Linked DNA regions of Saccharomyces cerevisiae S288C. The protein of the gene in region 2 binds, or shares a complex with, the protein of the main gene of each other region. Each region holds a gene or a part of one and is shown on either strand. Other genes may lie near its edges. The genes, in order: RPN8, RPN7, RPN6 and SEM1. A codon is read from its position in the direction of its gene.

Region 1 (4,700 bases), on a different chromosome or scaffold from region 2:
AGGCTTTTGTCTTTTGCGGTAAAGGTTCCAATTTGGCTCCCTTCACCCAGCCAGATTTTCCATTCCAAACGCAGAACAAAGACAGTACAGCTGCCACGAGCGGTGACAAACTTAATGAGTTGGTCAATAGCGCCCTCGATTCAACTGTCATAAATGAGTTCATGCAACATTCAACGCGCTTGCCCAAGGCTCTTTTGCCCATCGGTAATAGACCTATGATTGAATACGTCTTGGATTGGTGTGATCAGGCAGATTTCAAAGAAATCAGTGTGGTCGCACCCGTTGACGAAATCGAATTAATTGAAAGTGGACTGACTTCGTTTTTGTCCCTAAGAAAGCAACAATTTGAACTAATATACAAGGCTTTGTCAAATTCCAACCACAGTCATCACTTGCAAGATCCTAAGAAAATTAATTTCATCCCTTCGAAGGCAAATTCTACAGGTGAGTCCTTGCAAAAAGAGCTTTTGCCTAGAATCAATGGCGATTTTGTAATCTTGCCCTGTGATTTTGTCACAGATATACCTCCACAAGTCTTGGTCGATCAATTTAGGAATAGGGATGATAATAACCTAGCAATGACTATCTACTATAAGAACTCTTTAGATAGTAGTATCGATAAAAAGCAACAGCAAAAGCAAAAACAACAGCAATTTTTCACTGTTTATTCAGAAAACGAAGACTCAGAGAGGCAGCCAATACTTTTGGACGTTTATTCTCAAAGGGACGTCACAAAGACAAAATATCTACAGATCAGATCTCATTTATTATGGAACTATCCAAATTTAACAGTATCCACTAAGTTACTGAACTCATTCATCTACTTTTGTTCCTTTGAACTTTGCCAGTTGTTAAAATTAGGACCTCAATCAATGTCAAGACAAGCTTCATTCAAAGATCCATTTACTGGAAACCAACAACAGCAAAACCCTCCTACTACTGATGATGATGAAGATCGCAATCATGATGATGACGATGATTACAAACCTTCGGCTACATCTATCCAGCCTACCTACTTCAAAAAAAAGAATGATCTCATCTTGGACCCAATAAACTGTAATAAATCATTGAGTAAGGTTTTTAGAGATTTATCTCGTCGTTCGTGGCAACATTCGAAACCGAGGGAACCAATAGGTATTTTTATTTTACCAAACGAAACCTTGTTCATCAGAGCCAATAACTTGAATGCTTACATGGACGCTAATAGATTTGTACTAAAGATAAAATCACAAACGATGTTCACGAAAAATATACAGATTCAATCTGCCGCTATCGGTGCTGATGCCATAGTAGATCCCAAATGCCAAATCTCTGCTCATAGTAATGTCAAGATGTCTGTTCTCGGTACTCAGGCCAATATTGGTTCCAGATGTCGTGTTGCAGGGTCTCTCTTATTTCCTGGAGTCCATCTTGGTGACGAAGTAATCCTGGAAAATTGTATTATTGGACCTATGGCAAAAATCGGTTCAAAGTGTAAACTCAGCAATTGTTATATCGAAGGCCATTATGTTGTGGAGCCTAAAAATAACTTTAAAGGTGAAACACTGGCCAACGTTTATTTGGATGAAGATGAGGAGGACGAGTTAATATATGATGATAGTGTTATTGCTGGAGAAAGTGAAATCGCCGAAGAAACTGACAGTGATGATAGAAGCGATGAAGATTCTGATGATAGTGAATATACCGACGAGTACGAGTACGAAGATGACGGATTATTTGAGCGTTAATATAAACTTATGTATATTCCTTCAGTCTCTTTAATAGAGACCAAGTAAGTAAGTGGACGAGAATAGAGGCGATATTATGCATTTATATTTGAAATTCAACAGAACATAATTATGCTTAAGCAAATTAACATGTTGTATTAATACATAGCGTTTTACACATCTATTTCATATATTATGTTATGTTAATTTTTGAATTAATTTTTCTTGTTCTTTCGTTGGATCAATGGCGCAGTTGCTTCTTTGTCACCACTCTCACTCTCACTGTCATCAGAGACTTTTGATTGTTTGTCCTTTACTCTTTGTTCTTGAATTTTTTTATTTTGAATTTTGTTTTCAATCAAATCATCAAACGCGATAATTGACCTAACCAAATTGCTTATATATATAACCATTAATTCATCATTAGTTTTCACAGTTAAAGCCTTTTGTAAGTTATTTGAAATATTAATTCTGTCATGATTCTCCACATCTATTTCGTCATCATCAGGTGTTCCCAGATTTGGTAAAAGGTTGAAAACATCTTGTAGCTTGCCCAATATAGTGTGGTTTATCGGTAATTCCTTATTAATGACTTTGTCTAAGTACTCGACAACGTCTTTTAGTTTGCTTTGTAATCCTTTCAAAGATTTTAATTGGTTGGTCAACCGGATAGATAAGCCACCTGCTGCTTGATCACGTACGTCTCTCAATAAGTGTTCTACACCAATTTCTTCAGCTTCTTCGGCCTCAATAGTACAAGGCAAATGAAGAAACGTCTTTTCTGTAGACGTACCATCATCCTTAACTTGCTCAATCGCGACATATGCATCTGTTGGTAAACCAACACCTTGTTGTTTGACATCAACAATTAATAATAGCGGATTATTCTGAGTATATTTTTTAAACAGCTCATTAATCTTGAGGTCAGAAGCCCTTAATTTAGGACCACTATGATACCATCCAATGAGTTTTTCCTTGGCATTAATCTTTTTACACATTTCATTCATGTTTTCAATATAATTATGGTCTAAAAACCACACGTCAGAGTTTTTCTCATCTTCTTCAAACGGTAAGGCAAAGGAATTAGTGACTCTGATAGTGGAACTGTTAGCATCACCTAAGATGACACCAACGCATCTTTTGTTTTCTTTTGTCTGCGTACGCTCATAATGATCCAAAGCAGATAGCAAAACTAGTGGTGCAATGGTAACTTTCTCGTGTTGTAGAGACATTGTAATTTGATTTTCCTTTCTTTCTTTCTTTTTTTAAATTCGAAAAATGCCCTCAATCAGTAGCAGTTGTACAGAAAGCCAACGTTACACTATAGATTGCTTAGCTGTTGGCTTCACAATTATTTCATTGTAGATTCTACGTTACGTGCAACTTGAGTAACGATTTGCCACTGAGGTATCCCCGAACTTTAGTAAAATCAAATTTCGTAATAAGTGATTAGGAATATTGCTACTTAAAGTAAGTGATGCTCATTGAAAGATTGCATTGTGAGTCTTCACTACTTACCGTAATAGAATGGTTTGTTTTCATTTGATTGTTGTTGTGTCAATAGTTTTGATTTTCTACTAGAGAGTACAATAATGCCCTTCGCTCAGATTGTTATTGGTCCACCAGGTTCAGGGAAGTCAACCTATTGCAACGGCTGCTCACAGTTCTTCAATGCCATCGGAAGACATTCCCAGGTAGTGAATATGGATCCTGCTAATGATGCCTTACCTTACCCATGCGCTGTGGATATTCGTGATTTTATAACATTAGAGGAGATCATGCAAGAGCAACAGTTAGGCCCTAATGGAGGTTTGATGTATGCTGTTGAATCATTGGATAATTCTATTGATTTGTTCATTTTACAGATCAAGTCACTTGTAGAAGAAGAAAAAGCATATCTTGTATTCGACTGTCCGGGCCAAGTGGAGCTATTTACTCATCACTCATCTTTGTTCAACATCTTTAAAAAAATGGAAAAGGAATTGGACATTAGGTTTTGTGTTGTAAATTTGATTGACTGTTTTTACATGACATCCCCTTCACAATATATCTCGATTTTGTTACTTGCATTGAGGTCTATGTTAATGATGGATCTCCCTCACATCAACGTTTTTTCTAAAATAGATATGCTGAAATCATACGGAGAATTACCCTTTAGATTAGACTATTATACAGAGGTCCAGGATCTGGATTATTTGGAGCCATATATTGAAAAGGAAGGCTCTAGTGTACTGGGAAAGAAATATAGCAAGTTAACTGAAACAATCAAAGAGCTAGTCTCAGATTTCAACTTAGTATCATTTGAGGTTTTGTCCGTGGATGACAAAGAAAGTATGATAAATCTTCAAGGTGTTATAGATAAAGCAAATGGCTACATATTCGGCGCATCCGAAGTTGGTGGTGATACCGTGTGGGCTGAGGCTTCGCGAGAAGGTGCATTAATAGCGAATTACGACATTCAAGACAGGTGGATAGACAATAAAGAGAAGTATGATAAAGAAGAAGAAGAAAAACGTACGGCGTTGTTAAAAGAACAAGAATTGCAAAATAAAGCTGTTGATGTGAATGAAGAAGATGAGTGGGAAAATGCGCTGAAGGAGTGGGAAGAGAAACAAGGAATGGATTTTGTTAGGTAGCGTGTTCAGGTATCTTTTTCTCGTTCAGCCGTGGAACTTAATTCAAAATTGAAAATTGTATACAGAGTATATATGCATATAATTGAAAGCAGCTTACTACGAAATGTTCTTGAATTGCTGGCCGAGTTGCAAATCAGCTGCAAAGGACAGAACCCTATGTCTGAACATGATTGCTTTCGTACCCTGAAAGCCAGCGCTACTAATTAACCAGGTTGACCAGCCTTCACTCATTCGCGGCGACAGCAAAAGCGGAAGAAGAAAAAAATAACCAGCAAACTGTCAATGGGTTTCTAGGAGGAAAAAGAACAAGTTAAAAATGATTAGCACCAACAACGTTGCCTATATCTGTCATTGGGCA
Region 2 (4,968 bases):
TAGCGGTATCATCATGGTCTTGTTGCTCAGCTTCACTAGAAGAATTATAAAGCATTTCTGTTCCAAACATTCCGGGAAACCTGATAGATCTTCCGCCTGGAAGTGTTGCAACCCCCGTCGTGTTATTATCTGCACCGAGGGTCGCTAGCCTACGTAACTTGGCATCACTTGGAAAAGGAGAACTTATGAGAGATTGCACTATTGCTCTTGTTATAAGTGTCCAGACGGTACGATCATACTTGATATATTCCAATGATATTAAAACATACCCGAGAAAGCTCAAATTATTCACCAAATTTCTTTGGAAGTTTCTTTTTCGTAGTTCGTATACTCGTTTGTTTCCTATACTTAAATTTCCTTCAGCAGTACTTTCAAAATTATCCATTATTATATTGGCCTTATTGAAAACATAGATTAGTTTGCTTTTGGCCTGCTAATGGATGACAAATAGCGTGCTTAGTATTTTTAGGCTTCCGCAGTTTAGCTTTATTTGATGATACGTCAAGAGTGCGGGATAATGTAGGTTCAAAAGGATCAAATTGTGTTTCGTTATATATGATTTCCTTGCAATAACTATAGAGAAGGAGAACAATATAACCTTGTGCATGAAAGCATCATAGTCTTAAAGAAAAAATTTAAACTAAAATGCAGAATCAATTCTCATGGATTTTTTATATAAAAAGAAGCTAAATAAGTGTTAACTTTAGGGAAAAAATTTTGCCACCTGTCAGAATTGAACTAACGACCTTTGCATTACAAGTGCAACGCTCTACCACTAAGCTAAGGAGGCTTTTACACTGTAGGGTATCCTCCAAGAAGGGACAAAGTGTCTGCATGGAAATTTGCAGCCGACTTCTCTTAATGTCTGTAACACTTAAACTATCATGGAGTGATTTCATTTCAACGATATCCCTAAAAGCGAACCAGAAGTGTTTTAGTTGAATCGTTTATTGGCTAGAACACTCGAATACAACGTATTAAACAAATGAAGAAACAATGACCGTATCATGAATTTCCTTTTATGGGGATTCCTTTTTCTGGTTATACTACTTTTTAAGAATTGGCATTTTCAGCCTTAGATTCCTCACTTTCAAAAGAAGCATGGTCCTTTATGAGACATTGCAATTATGTAACTTTCCGAACTAAATACTGAAATTTTTAATGGAAGCTTGAAAACTATAGAAGCTCTCCGTTTTAAAGGAGAAAGAGGATGATTACAATCCTTTGACTTGAACCGATCCATATATCCTCTCACTACTATTTACTCAAGTCTCCAAACTATGTATACATGTTGATGTGATTATGTGCGTTGCTAAATAATGTAAATTCCTCAAACACGATCTGACCCTGTCAATCTCACTGCTGCACCGTATTTTTGTAATTTTGTTAGCAAACCGTCACCTTGCTTAACTAGCAGATGGTATTGAGCATTTTTGTTGTCTGGCCTGTTGGTCTCTACGATCCCATTAACTCTATCAATGACACAATTTAGTTGCTTATTTGGAATAAACTTACCCAGGTCGTTATCCAAGAACGCAACCGAAACACCAAATGCGCTTGCCATAGATTTCAGCGACAAAGTCTTATATGATTCCAACAATTGTGCGTAGACTTTTCTTCTCATTTCTCTAACAAAGAAATCTGCATGTCTATTCAAATATTTACATGGAATCAAAACATTTGCATATGTTTCCAAAAGATATGGAAAGTAACTGGCATAATCGGACGCGTAAAGGGAAATTGTTAACGACGAGATAGATTGTAGTGCGGCAGTTGTTGAGATTAAAGATAACAATTCAGGTGAATCGATGACTTTGGATTTTAGGTCTGTTCTTTCCAGAGTGAATAAACCTGTGACCGATGCATATGTGGCAATGCTTTCATAGGAAGTTAATTCAATAGAGGTGAAAGTTGCTAGAGAATCGACCAATAACTTTGCCGCTTCCTTAAAGTTTCTTACGGCCAAGCAGTGGATACCATAGTATGTTTTATATCTATTTCTTCTCTCCCAGTCACCACCTTTTTCAATCATAGAATTGACTGCTTCCAACTTCTCCTTAACATAAAGTTGGTCGTTATAAAAGAACCCCAGCCTTGCAATTGTTAGCATAACATCAATTTTGGCGCCTGTGGAAATAGCCTTCGATAATGATTTCCCTAGCGTCTTTTCAGCATTATCTTTGTCACCGATTTGTGCATAATATTCACCCAGATTAATCCAGGCTTGAGCTTGTTCTAGTTCACCTTCATCATCTTCTTCCAATTTTTGGATCTTTTCATTTAACTCTTTAATCTTACTTTCATTTTTTTTGCACAATTCATTGTATAGCTCCTGGTCAAATTTGATCCATTCGTTTAAAGAATCTGACTTTTCATCGTGTTCCAAGTCAGATTGGCCATTATTAACAAGGTATTCCTCGCAAAGATATTTATAATAAGGGGCCATTTCTTCCTCTTTAATTTTGGCTAAAACGAACTCTGCCGCTTCCTTACGCTGTTCAATACTAACCTTTGATTGTGTCAAAAGAAACGCCTTTTCAGATACCTCATAATTGGGCACCCTATTCACCGTTGGATCAACATATTCAACTTCTTGACTTTTCTCTTCCACGTCTACCATTTTGCCGTGTTTATCCAGAATTTTTGCGTGTATTAGTAACTATTGTAACAGTGGTAAAAAGCGCAGTTTACTACAACAATAGAGATTTGTGTAGTGTTAACAATTAGGTTTTTCAATGCTGCCTTGTGTATATTAATCCTCAATGGGTGGCAAACTTAACTTATTCGGAAACTTGATTGAGCATGCATTTACGCGCCGTCGGTTATGATATGGGGAAAACAAGTGTTATTACAATAGTCCACTATAACTTTTAATAATTATATAGAATGCACTGTACTTTGTTGTTCCAATCGCTTCAAAATATCACATTTCTGAATTATAAGCTAAAGATTTCTGCACTGTATCTTAAACAAGTATTCTAGGACGAATAAAATCAATAAGTTTATGTAATGAGCCTAATTCACCCCGATACAGCAAAATATCCTTTTAAATTTGAACCTTTCCTCAGGCAAGAGTATTCGTTTTCACTCGATCCTGACAGACCTATTTGTGAATTTTACAATTCTAGAGAAGGCCCTAAATCATGTCCGAGGGGACCGTTATGTCCAAAAAAGCATGTGTTACCAATATTTCAGAATAAAATTGTTTGTAGACATTGGCTTCGAGGGTTGTGCAAAAAGAATGACCAATGTGAATACTTACATGAATACAATCTTCGAAAAATGCCTGAATGTGTCTTCTTCAGCAAAAACGGGTACTGTACACAAAGTCCAGATTGTCAATATCTACACATAGATCCCGCTAGCAAGATACCAAAATGTGAAAATTACGAAATGGGATTCTGTCCTCTGGGGAGTTCTTGTCCTAGACGGCATATTAAGAAGGTTTTCTGTCAAAGATACATGACCGGATTTTGTCCTTTAGGGAAGGATGAATGTGATATGGAACATCCACAGTTCATAATCCCAGATGAAGGTAGTAAATTAAGAATTAAGAGAGACGATGAGATAAATACCAGGAAAATGGATGAAGAAAAGGAAAGGCGTTTAAACGCAATTATAAACGGTGAAGTTTGATCTATGCATGGCTGGGGGTTTTCGATTTCATAGACATGTATATTATCATATATAGTTACTATCGAGTATAGTTATGAGATTTTCTAGAGGAAGTCTATCAACCAGAATTCTGGACAATAATGCTAGTTCTGACTTCCAATCCTGGAATAAATCGTTTCTTAACATGTTTAGATTTATAGGATCTTTTTTCAAAAGAGCATTTATCAGCCATTGGGACTGCTGTATAGATGAACTGCCAATACCTGGAGAGGATCCATGCGACACTAACGCCTGAAGTTCGTTGTAAGGCTCATGCTGCGATATAAATGATAAAAGACAAAGCCCCACGGCATACAAATCCGATTCAAATGTAGGAACATGATCGGAGGAGCTATCAATTAGTTCTGGTGCACAGTATTCTACCGTGGTATTCAGATCTGTTGGTGTTTGATTAATGTGAAATGCCGACGTAAAGTCAGCAAGGTAGAAGTCAAAATCCTTACAATGGCCTCCATTAAGAACATGCATTTCTGTTATTAAAATATTTGCTGTTTTTATATCACCATGAATTATACCATTTGTTTTCAAAGATTTTAATGCGTCTATCATTTGCTTCATAAGTCTCCACCATATTTTTCTTTTTGTTATCAACGAAAGCTTATGTGACACTGCTGTATTGAAGTGATATAAACTCATTTCGCATTTCGGAAGAATAAGGCCAGGAACACATTCGTTGGACCTCAGTCTTCTAAAATGGGATTTAGTTATGTATGTCAACCCATAGAATGGAATAATATGACTTTCATTGGTTGAAGGACTCATGTACTGGAGATATGCTAGCGTCAAAGCTTCCTGTAAAATCACCTTGCTTTTATGCTGTGATTTGGCAAACTTTAAAACAACCCCTGAATCGTTGTTACATCTTGATGAAGCACTTGATGATATAGGGTACACATATGAATAACTTCCCTGTCCCACTAATTTGTTAGACGGAAGAGAATAACTTGGATTTGACAAAAAATCCATCTCTGGAGCAAGTAATATGCCCATCAAAAACTCATCCAGAAATTCTAGGGAAGAAACTGTATTAGAAAGACGGAACATTAAAGCCAAATTCTCCGGAGAGTAAAACCGGGGGGTAGTGAACAATACGTCTAAATCGTTCTTTAGGTGCGCCTCCGAGGTAGCAACGGGCGCCTTACTAGAATAATCTGTCTGGAATGCCTCACTGAATTTAGCTGTCGGCTCCTCTACAGGAGATACCAGATGTGAATATGCGAAGTTACTTTTATGTTTTTGCGGTTGGCGATAAGCAAAACCCTTACTATTGTTACTTATGGATGGAAAGGAACC
Region 3 (5,141 bases), on a different chromosome or scaffold from region 2:
GTGTCTTTGAAGGTTAGGTTACAAATATCGCAGTAAAATCCGAACTTCTTTCCCCTCTTGAAAGACGATAAGCTCTCTGTATTTGCTGTTAGTTTCCTTTTATTTAGGTCTTTTAGCGAGCCCTTGATTAAATGATCGTAATTTGTATATTTGGATTTTAAAGCTTGTAATTCAATCGGTGTTAGCGTAGCCTTTAAGGATCGATCGTCATAGCCGCTTCTAGCCTGCTCAGCATACTCCTCTCTATCCCAAGTTCTTCTGCCAAAATTCGACATTAGCTTTCTCGAATTTTTGTCAGCTAAGGCTTGTAGGAACTTCTGGTTTTGATGAACTTTCGCATCAACTGTTTTCTATTTAGCGGCGCATTCGATTAAACTTCTTCCTTTCTTAGGAGAAAAAAAAGAAAAATCATACTTATGTATTTTCTGCATTTTATAAGTTTATTTAGGAATTCTTACTCTGGTACTTGTGAGTATACATACATATATATACATGTAAACCTAATACAAGACACTTGCCTTTTCAAATAGTTGATCGACGACTTTATTTAGTTGCCCGACTAATTCCAATGCAGAGTCGTACGTGGCATCCTGATTCGGAGTTTCGTAAACGTAAAGCCAACCATTACCTTGATCCAGAACACCGTAGAATATCTTATCTAGTATCATTTGGGAGAGCTTTCCTTCAACTTGTTGAGTATCCAGACCGATTATTTTGGAAATGTGGGATATTTCCACACATTCAAATGGCTCAATAATCTTACACAAATTGGACTCTAATAACGTGTCGTATAATGCATTGAAATGGGATCTTGTTAGTTCATCGCCCATTAGTTCCTTCTCGTATTGCTTTAGCGCCGTGTTGAAGTCTAAAAGCGATCTGTTGTTATAAGCCTCAGCGACAGCTTTCATGGCATCAATGCCTCGGGACTGGTACGTTTCCTTTGTGTATTTTGCGTTTAGGATGTTTTTTACGTCATCAATAAGGTTCAGCATGATCTTAGACAATAGCATGTATTTCAACACTTGACATGCCTTTTCGTAGGAATTATGCGTAGTCAAATTGTGGTAGCTTTCAAAACTTTCGAAGAAATACGAAAATGCAGTTTTGTAGTCTTTATCTTCACAGTGCAGGATACCACTCATCAAGTCCAGCTCCGCAACTGTTTGTGTAGGACAGTATATGGAGTTAGCGGCCGTCCTTGCTGCAGTCAACGAGGCCTTGGACTTGGCTAGATTCCTCAGTTTATGGTAAACTTTACTTTCCAATAGATGTACATCAACCAAAGAGGGCTTGTCGTCCAGCTTTTTGAACTCCCTCAAAAGATCGTTAATCAATGCTAATGAGTCCTTGTACTGTTTCTTTTGATAATGTAAGGTGGCCAATTTGATCGAGAGTGAATGCTTCAAAAACACCCTTTTTTCTCTCTTGGCAAATTCGATGCTTTTCTCGCACACAAAGATCTGATCGTCCAAGGAGTCCGGCACTTGCTCGAATTTTTCAATCAACGTTTTCAATACCTTTACCGTTTTGGATTTGGCAAATTGCATCATATACTCCGTAGAATGAGGAATAAACTCGCGCAATTTGTCCTTTGCACCCATAGTCACGTATAACTGTCCTAATTCCAATATGCTTGTCTCCTGTTCATTTCTACGCTTGTCATCCACACTGGCACCGGCAGCGGCGCTGCTCTGTGAGCTGTCTTTATCCAGCAGGCTCAAATAGACTTGTTCTGCCTCATTATACTGTTTTTCATTAACCAGTCTCCTGGCCTCTTCTAATTTCGAACCTGGCAGAGACATGAAGTTCCTCGTTTATAGATTAATCACCAATTGTCCTCTTTCAGCGCTTCTGTTAGTTGGCCTTATTTAACGGATCTTTGCTTCAATTACGCTTTCTACCAACATTTGCCACCCTTGGAACCAGAAGAGAATATACATCATTCGGGGTTGCCCTGCCCATTTATATCGTATATTGTGATGATATACCTTTTTTTTTTTTTTCGCTGCGTTTTTTTTCTCGACACGTGTCGAAGAAGAGTTTGGCGTTTCTAAGCAGATCTTGATTATTTTCGAGCAGCAAAACAAGACAAACAGGTGCATTGTTAAAGCGAGGTAGTATCAGAAGAGCCTATCAAGAAACAGCTAACAGCTACAAGCACGGTCATGTCGGAAGAGAAAACGTACAAACGTGTAGAGCAGGATGATCCCGTGCCCGAACTGGATATCAAGCAGGGCCCCGTAAGACCCTTTATTGTTACCGATCCGAGTGCCGAATTGGCCTCGTTACGAACCATGGTCACTCTTAAAGAGAAGCTGTTAGTGGCCTGTCTTGCTGTCTTTACAGCGGTCATTAGATTGCATGGCTTGGCATGGCCTGACAGCGTGGTGTTTGATGAAGTACATTTCGGTGGGTTTGCCTCGCAATACATTAGGGGGACTTACTTCATGGATGTGCATCCTCCTCTTGCAAAGATGTTGTATGCTGGTGTGGCATCGCTTGGTGGGTTCCAGGGTGATTTTGACTTCGAAAATATTGGTGACAGCTTTCCATCTACGACGCCATACGTGTTGATGAGATTTTTCTCTGCTTCTTTGGGGGCTCTTACTGTTATTTTGATGTACATGACTTTACGTTATTCTGGTGTTCGTATGTGGGTTGCTTTGATGAGCGCTATCTGCTTTGCCGTTGAAAACTCGTACGTCACTATTTCTCGTTACATTCTGTTGGACGCCCCATTGATGTTTTTCATTGCAGCTGCAGTCTACTCTTTCAAGAAATACGAAATGTACCCTGCCAACTCGCTCAATGCTTACAAGTCCTTGCTTGCTACTGGTATTGCTCTTGGTATGGCATCTTCATCCAAATGGGTTGGTCTTTTCACGGTTACATGGGTGGGTCTTTTATGTATCTGGAGACTATGGTTCATGATTGGGGATTTGACTAAGTCTTCCAAGTCCATCTTCAAAGTAGCATTTGCCAAATTGGCCTTCTTGTTGGGTGTGCCTTTTGCCCTTTATCTGGTCTTCTTTTATATCCACTTCCAATCATTAACTTTGGACGGGGATGGCGCAAGCTTCTTTTCGCCTGAATTTAGATCTACACTAAAGAACAATAAGATCCCCCAAAATGTCGTTGCTGATGTCGGCATTGGCTCCATTATCAGCTTGCGTCATCTCTCTACCATGGGCGGTTATTTGCATTCTCATTCACACAATTATCCAGCTGGTTCGGAACAACAACAAAGCACTTTATATCCTCACATGGATGCCAATAACGATTGGTTGTTGGAACTTTACAACGCACCCGGCGAATCTTTAACAACATTCCAAAACCTAACCGATGGTACCAAGGTCAGACTATTCCACACTGTTACAAGATGTAGATTACACTCTCATGACCATAAGCCACCCGTTTCAGAAAGCAGCGACTGGCAGAAGGAGGTTTCTTGTTATGGTTACAGCGGATTCGACGGTGATGCTAATGATGACTGGGTTGTTGAGATTGATAAAAAGAATTCTGCTCCTGGAGTTGCCCAAGAACGGGTCATAGCTTTGGACACAAAGTTTAGATTGAGACATGCTATGACAGGCTGTTATTTGTTTTCCCACGAAGTCAAGTTGCCAGCTTGGGGGTTCGAACAACAAGAAGTTACCTGTGCCTCCTCCGGTAGACATGATTTAACATTGTGGTACGTTGAGAACAACAGTAACCCATTGTTACCAGAAGATACCAAGCGTATTTCCTATAAACCTGCAAGCTTCATTTCTAAATTTATTGAATCCCATAAAAAGATGTGGCATATCAATAAAAATTTGGTCGAACCTCATGTTTATGAATCACAACCAACTTCATGGCCATTCTTGCTACGTGGTATAAGTTACTGGGGTGAAAATAACAGAAACGTCTATCTATTAGGTAATGCGATCGTATGGTGGGCTGTCACCGCTTTCATCGGTATTTTCGGATTGATTGTTATCACTGAGCTGTTCTCGTGGCAGTTAGGTAAACCAATTTTGAAGGACTCCAAGGTTGTTAACTTCCACGTTCAGGTTATTCACTACTTATTGGGTTTTGCCGTCCATTATGCTCCATCTTTCTTAATGCAACGTCAAATGTTTTTGCATCACTACTTACCTGCTTATTATTTCGGTATTCTTGCCCTTGGCCACGCCTTGGACATAATAGTTTCTTATGTTTTCCGCAGCAAGAGACAAATGGGCTACGCGGTAGTGATCACTTTCCTTGCTGCTTCTGTGTATTTCTTCAAGAGCTTCAGTCCAATTATTTACGGTACACCATGGACTCAAGAATTGTGTCAAAAATCGCAGTGGTTGTCTGGTTGGGACTACAATTGTAACACATACTTTTCTTCATTAGAAGAGTACAAAAACCAAACCTTGACTAAACGTGAATCTCAACCTGCCGCCACTAGTACAGTTGAAGAAATCACTATAGAAGGGGACGGTCCGTCGTATGAAGATCTCATGAACGAGGATGGCAAGAAAATCTTTAAAGACACAGAAGGTAATGAACTAGATCCAGAAGTTGTCAAAAAAATGTTGGAAGAGGAGGGAGCTAACATTTTAAAAGTAGAAAAAAGGGCTGTTTTGGAATAAATTTCCCAGTACTCTCCACATTTTTATGTAAAGTCTTCTATAAGCTCTCGAGCGTATAATTAAAAACGAAAATAGACAAAAAAAACATCATGAATAAAAAAAATGTCTTGAAGCTGACTATATTGTCCATCTGCGTTTAGAGACACGTATTCTATTTCGCTCAAATAAGTATGATCTGCAAGTAGTTTCAGTGGTATTATCATTTCGCACCGTTTTTTTTCCAAGAACTCGTTTACGTGCCGCGAAAAGTCTATCGAATAGGCATTCGAGAACAATAGAAAAGGAACAGAAGCGTAGTACATATTATGCATAGACCCGTTTCTTTTCTTCTTTTTCGAAAATATTCTTATTGATTTAACAATTAAGCAGGTGTGTAAGATCATAACTGCTTTAAAGATGAATAAAGAGCATTTGCTGAAGGTGGATCCCATCCCCGATGTGACTATTAAACGCGGCCCTTTGAGGTCTTTTCTCATAACAAAACCCTGTGATAATTTGAGTTCATTACGAACAGTTACT
Region 4 (3,791 bases), on a different chromosome or scaffold from region 2:
TCGTGTTTCAGAAAATCAAGGTCTTGTGCAGACATATGATCATCACCTAAGTAGCATTCTGGCTCTCAAGTATTTTCCCGATGGTTCGAAGTTTATTTCTTCTTCAGAGGATAAGACGGTAAGAATTTGGGAAAATCAGATCAATGTACCAATAAAACAAATAAGTGACACGGCTCAACATTCTATGCCATTTTTAAATGTACATCCGTCTCAGAACTATTTCTGTGCACAAAGCATGGATAATAGAATATATTCTTTCAGTTTGAAACCCAAATATAAGAGGCATCCAAAAAAGATATTTAAAGGGCATTCATCTGCTGGTTATGGGATAAGCTTGGCTTTTTCTGGTGATGGTCGTTACATATGTTCAGGCGATTCAAAAAGCAGACTATTTACTTGGGATTGGAATACGTCGCGCTTATTAAATAACATCAAGATTCCAGGCAACAAGCCTATAACTCAAGTGGACTGGCATCCTCAAGAAACAAGTAAAGTCATTTGCAGCGGAGCGGCAGGTAAGATATATGTATGTGACTAGCTATTCACTCGGAATGTTACTTGAAACAAATTAAATGGTTACATGGATGTGATTTGTTACTTAATTGTTATTACGGATGATATTATTATGATAGTAAAAATGACAATAATAAAGAAACGATTGGGGTTACCTGAAATTGCAAGTACTAGTTCGAGGACACATTTGCATCATATGGTAGAAAGAGCGGATCTTAATATAGTTAATTTTTTAAACTGAGACTGCATTTAAAGAAATGAGAAATCTCAGCTGAGTTATTTAATACTTTGCGTGCATCATTATTATACTACAAGGCCATATAATCGACTACCGCATAGCCTTTCGTATCTCTTTTTATTATTTATTTTATCATCTAAGCAAAATATACTAGTATGACAACAATGTACTAAAGTAACATTAGACGTATAATTTCCTTTTGCGTTATTTAGAAATAATGTTATGTAGCCCCTCACTGATTTTCCCGTTTGTATCTATCCAATTCGGCCTTCAATTCATTGGTGAAATCGTCGTCAACTTCAACATCATCCCAGTTTTCTTCCCATATGTTTGTTTGCGTTACAGCATTGCTTTTTATTGTTTCACCATTGGCCCATGTGTCAATGGGGAAATCTTCAAATTCATCGTCTTCCTCTAGAGACTTCTTATTTATTTCCTCATTTTTTTTTTTTGTTAAATCTATTTTACTTTGGGCTTGTGCAGCAGCAACGTCCGTACTCATATTTTTGCGTATTTGTACTATTATTCGACTTTTATTGCCACTCTATTCACTTTATGCATAGGTAGGTTTCCATTAGGACTTTAAAAGGTAACGCCCACCACGTTCGCCACCCATAGCACTAGTTTCGTAAATAATGATAATATAATGGATCCGACAGAACTAAGAAGCTTTCAGCCCTTCAAAATCCCTACTAGTAGGTTACAAAGACATGAGGAAATGTTGATATAATTTTTATTGTTTTCTTTAGAAGGTTAGTTTTAAACACAAACCCGAAAAAAAATTTATAACATTTTGAATGTGTTATTAGCCCTGTAGGGGGCTCGAACCCCTAACCTTATGATTAAGAGTCATACGCGCTACCGATTGCGCCAACAAGGCTATTTATTTGTGACCTTTTAAAGGTTAAAAAGGGATAATACATATAATTTCTCAATATCAAGATGCATCATCATGTATTAAACTGAGAAATAAGTGAATTCTATGAATATTGAGATAGGGTTGGGATTGCATTGTTGGAAAACAATATTTGGTTATCAATTCTTGCTTTTCAACTTCTACTAAAAATGGTAACTGCTTGTCAATCTTTATGTCAACTTCTTAGGTTGTATATGATAGTTTACTAATAATATGAACGTTAGTCGGGTATATGATGGTTGATTCTTATTCCAACAATATCAAACACATCAGTAATTTTCAATCACTTTAAAATATATTGATATAAACCTTTTTTCCATATAAATGTATTCACATTTTTTGCATCCATGATCACTGTTGGTAAAGTACGCCCTATTTATAGAAATACGTAAATAAGGAGCAATCGATAAAGCATGTAGACCAATATAGTGTTGAGATATTTGTCGGATCCCATCTTGGTGTAAGTAATAGTACTATGTGTAACAATAGTGGGTGAAAGCCATTCTTGATGGTTTAGAGTTCAAAAAAGAAAATCAACAATTCTGCACAGTACCATATTTATTATTTTTCTTCGTTTTCACCTAATCACTCATTGATGCAGTTACACTACCAATTCTTGCCCTTCAAATCACCTTAAAGGATGATGGCTTGAATTTTATTTTCTGCTGATCTCGTAATTTATACAACCTTTTAGCGTTGATATCATAATATTATGATGAAACGAATTATTTTAATTGACTGCTGTAGCAACAATAGAGAAGTAGTTTACCTCTTGTTCCAAGAAAACTATAGCCGAGGAAATATCAAATTGTTTTGATAGTTGTTCTACGTTAGATGTACTATTCAAACCTAGCACGAAAAAGCTGAAGAGATTTTTGTATTCATTAGGCGATCAAATTTTTATAGAAAAGCGTTAACATGTTGAGTTAGAGATGGAAAAATTCCTTTATAATATTTCACGGAAGGTAGAAGAGGGTCAGCACCTACTTTTTGAACAGAGAATTACCCGAGTATGATTTAAACACAAAAGGTCTTATTCAATTATATTCAGAAAATATTTTACAAGTACCGCAAGCACCACCAACACACCCGCCGCCCATAGTAAATAATAATTGTGGCACGTAAAGAGCCGGAGTTCGGCCTTTTTTAGCAAATTGCGCTCAATCAATAATGACATCAACCATGTCTTCATCTTCCATATCCTGATCGGCTATACACTCATTCATGTCCAATTCATCATGATCAAAAAGTAATTTAACCCTCGTCTTTTGTGGTAACTGTTTCTGGATTCTGTAATATTCGGCAATTTTAGAAAATGGTGTTGAACGCCTAACATGGACATAGATTTTTTTGTTATCTTGACCCATGAGAGCGATTCTCATAACTTCTTCCATGCTACTACTATTTCCTGACAAAGAGCCACCCTCTTGCAGAAGTTTTGTATTCATAACTGTATCATTTTCTTTTATTTCTTGTGTTTCTTCTACGTTTTTTAATTCGGATTCAAACTCGCGATATTCGGACTCTTCTTGTTCATTTCTCTTTTTCTCTAACTTCCTTTCCATCTCCTGACGTTCTTTTATGAGTAAAGCAGCTTCTTCTTCCTTTAACTTTGATTCCAGTGTCGCTTCAAAGTTCTTTTCGTATTCTTTGGATACGATAGTAACATCGATATCAGAGACTTCATTTTCAAAATCCTGTGGGATATGTAGCGAATTACAAGTCATAAAAGTGAGTAATTTTGCATTGTTCCAATAAAGAGTAACATTCTCTACCTTGTATATATCTTTCATTACCTTCGGAATTTTATAGGACTTCATCAATCCGTCCAAAGCAGCAGGAAGTATTTTTGAAAATTCGTATTTTCCGAGGACCTTCACTTGGACCGCTTTATTTATAGTTCCTTCTAGCTTAGAGAGAAATTTGATGTTATAAACTCGCTTCCGCTGGTCGGGTGTCGATTCTTTAGAAATAGTGGTGCTTTTTTTGGCTTCTTTAGCAAGTTCCTTGAAAAAGTCATCGTTTTCATCATAGGTATACAGTAATGAACTTTTCTGTCGCTTGTATTTTCCCGCTGGAGATATTGATCTTATGCTTGACCTGGACCTTGACCTAGATCTGGGA

What was found.
Region 1: the proteins of RPN7 (region 2) and RPN8 are in contact, whole or in part, in a cryo-EM structure (PDB 3J47), measured with the Saccharomyces cerevisiae proteins. Residues at the interface, in NP_015433.1 of Saccharomyces cerevisiae: Tyr400 (codon at 1,423), Leu403 (codon at 1,414), Leu410 (codon at 1,393), Leu414 (codon at 1,381), Tyr417 (codon at 1,372), Gly418 (codon at 1,369), Val421 (codon at 1,360); in NP_014904.3 of Saccharomyces cerevisiae: Met274 (codon at 2,119), Ile278 (codon at 2,107), Ile285 (codon at 2,086), Phe288 (codon at 2,077), Asp289 (codon at 2,074), Ile292 (codon at 2,065), Ile296 (codon at 2,053).
Region 3: the proteins of RPN7 (region 2) and RPN6 are in contact, whole or in part, in a cryo-EM structure (PDB 5MPC), measured with the Saccharomyces cerevisiae proteins. Residues at the interface, in NP_015433.1 of Saccharomyces cerevisiae: Arg263 (codon at 1,834), Pro274 (codon at 1,801), Leu277 (codon at 1,792), Ser278 (codon at 1,789), Leu279 (codon at 1,786), Ile280 (codon at 1,783), Tyr297 (codon at 1,732), Ser299 (codon at 1,726), Gln340 (codon at 1,603), Glu343 (codon at 1,594), Ser344 (codon at 1,591), Tyr345 (codon at 1,588), Lys346 (codon at 1,585), Thr347 (codon at 1,582), Leu348 (codon at 1,579), Ser349 (codon at 1,576), Ser352 (codon at 1,567), Asp394 (codon at 1,441), Asn395 (codon at 1,438), Lys396 (codon at 1,435), Gln399 (codon at 1,426), Tyr400 (codon at 1,423), Leu402 (codon at 1,417), Leu403 (codon at 1,414), Gln406 (codon at 1,405), Gly407 (codon at 1,402), Gly409 (codon at 1,396), Leu410 (codon at 1,393), Lys413 (codon at 1,384), Leu414 (codon at 1,381); in NP_010186.1 of Saccharomyces cerevisiae: Lys152 (codon at 1,352), Leu188 (codon at 1,244), Arg189 (codon at 1,241), Asn190 (codon at 1,238), Ala192 (codon at 1,232), Glu374 (codon at 686), Ser378 (codon at 674), Gln379 (codon at 671), Ile381 (codon at 665), Leu382 (codon at 662), Asp383 (codon at 659), Lys384 (codon at 656), Gly388 (codon at 644), Val389 (codon at 641), Leu390 (codon at 638), Asp391 (codon at 635), Gln392 (codon at 632), Gly393 (codon at 629), Pro403 (codon at 599), Asn404 (codon at 596), Gln405 (codon at 593), Asp406 (codon at 590), Tyr409 (codon at 581), Asp410 (codon at 578), Ala412 (codon at 572), Leu413 (codon at 569), Val416 (codon at 560), Gly417 (codon at 557), Leu419 (codon at 551), Asn420 (codon at 548).
Region 4: the proteins of RPN7 (region 2) and SEM1 are in contact, whole or in part, in a cryo-EM structure (PDB 5MPE), measured with the Saccharomyces cerevisiae proteins. Residues at the interface, in NP_015433.1 of Saccharomyces cerevisiae: Phe305 (codon at 1,708), Leu308 (codon at 1,699), Leu309 (codon at 1,696), Tyr312 (codon at 1,687), Asp327 (codon at 1,642), Val330 (codon at 1,633), Arg331 (codon at 1,630), Arg334 (codon at 1,621), Lys351 (codon at 1,570), Ser355 (codon at 1,558), Gly358 (codon at 1,549), Val359 (codon at 1,546), Ser360 (codon at 1,543), Phe363 (codon at 1,534), Asn366 (codon at 1,525), Asp367 (codon at 1,522), Lys370 (codon at 1,513); in NP_010651.3 of Saccharomyces cerevisiae: Asp65 (codon at 1,061), Glu68 (codon at 1,052), Val69 (codon at 1,049), Asp70 (codon at 1,046), Asp71 (codon at 1,043), Asp72 (codon at 1,040), Phe73 (codon at 1,037), Asn75 (codon at 1,031), Glu76 (codon at 1,028), Lys78 (codon at 1,022), Ala79 (codon at 1,019), Leu81 (codon at 1,013), Asp82 (codon at 1,010), Arg86 (codon at 998).

Annotation. Positions count from the first base shown.
Region 1 is NC_001147.6:813,994-818,693, forward strand, and holds RPN8 (proteasome regulatory particle lid subunit RPN8), read right to left. Parts: upstream 2,939-4,700; coding exon 1,922-2,938; downstream 1-1,921. Other genes in the region: GCD1 (translation initiation factor eIF2B subunit gamma), read left to right, coding at 1-1,727; GTPase GPN2, read left to right, coding at 3,299-4,342. UniProt on the Saccharomyces cerevisiae protein: Acts as a regulatory subunit of the 26S proteasome which is involved in the ATP-dependent degradation of ubiquitinated proteins.
Region 2 is NC_001148.4:740,106-745,073, reverse strand, and holds RPN7 (proteasome regulatory particle lid subunit RPN7), read right to left. Parts: upstream 2,621-4,968; coding exon 1,331-2,620; downstream 1-1,330. Other genes in the region: GLD1 (Gld1p), read right to left, coding at 1-385; cleavage polyadenylation factor RNA-binding subunit YTH1, read left to right, coding at 3,010-3,636; putative protein kinase ISR1, read right to left, coding at 3,682-4,968. UniProt on the Saccharomyces cerevisiae protein: Component of the 19S cap proteasome complex which acts as a regulatory subunit of the 26S proteasome, involved in the ATP-dependent degradation of ubiquitinated proteins.
Region 3 is NC_001136.10:284,891-290,031, forward strand, and holds RPN6 (proteasome regulatory particle lid subunit RPN6), read right to left. Parts: upstream 1,806-5,141; coding exon 501-1,805; downstream 1-500. Other genes in the region: U4/U6-U5 snRNP complex subunit SNU23, read right to left, coding at 1-275; dolichyl-phosphate-mannose-protein mannosyltransferase PMT1, read left to right, coding at 2,169-4,622; putative dolichyl-phosphate-mannose-protein mannosyltransferase PMT5, read left to right, coding at 5,019-5,141. UniProt on the Saccharomyces cerevisiae protein: Component of the lid subcomplex of the 26S proteasome, a multiprotein complex involved in the ATP-dependent degradation of ubiquitinated proteins. In the complex, RPN6 is required for proteasome assembly.
Region 4 is NC_001136.10:1,199,590-1,203,380, reverse strand, and holds SEM1 (proteasome regulatory particle lid subunit SEM1), read right to left. Parts: upstream 1,254-3,791; coding exon 984-1,253; downstream 1-983. Other genes in the region: CDC40 (Cdc40p), read left to right, coding at 1-538; ESC2 (Esc2p), read right to left, coding at 2,828-3,791. UniProt on the Saccharomyces cerevisiae protein: Versatile protein that might stabilize multiple protein complexes involved in diverse pathways. Subunit of the 26S proteasome which plays a role in ubiquitin-dependent proteolysis.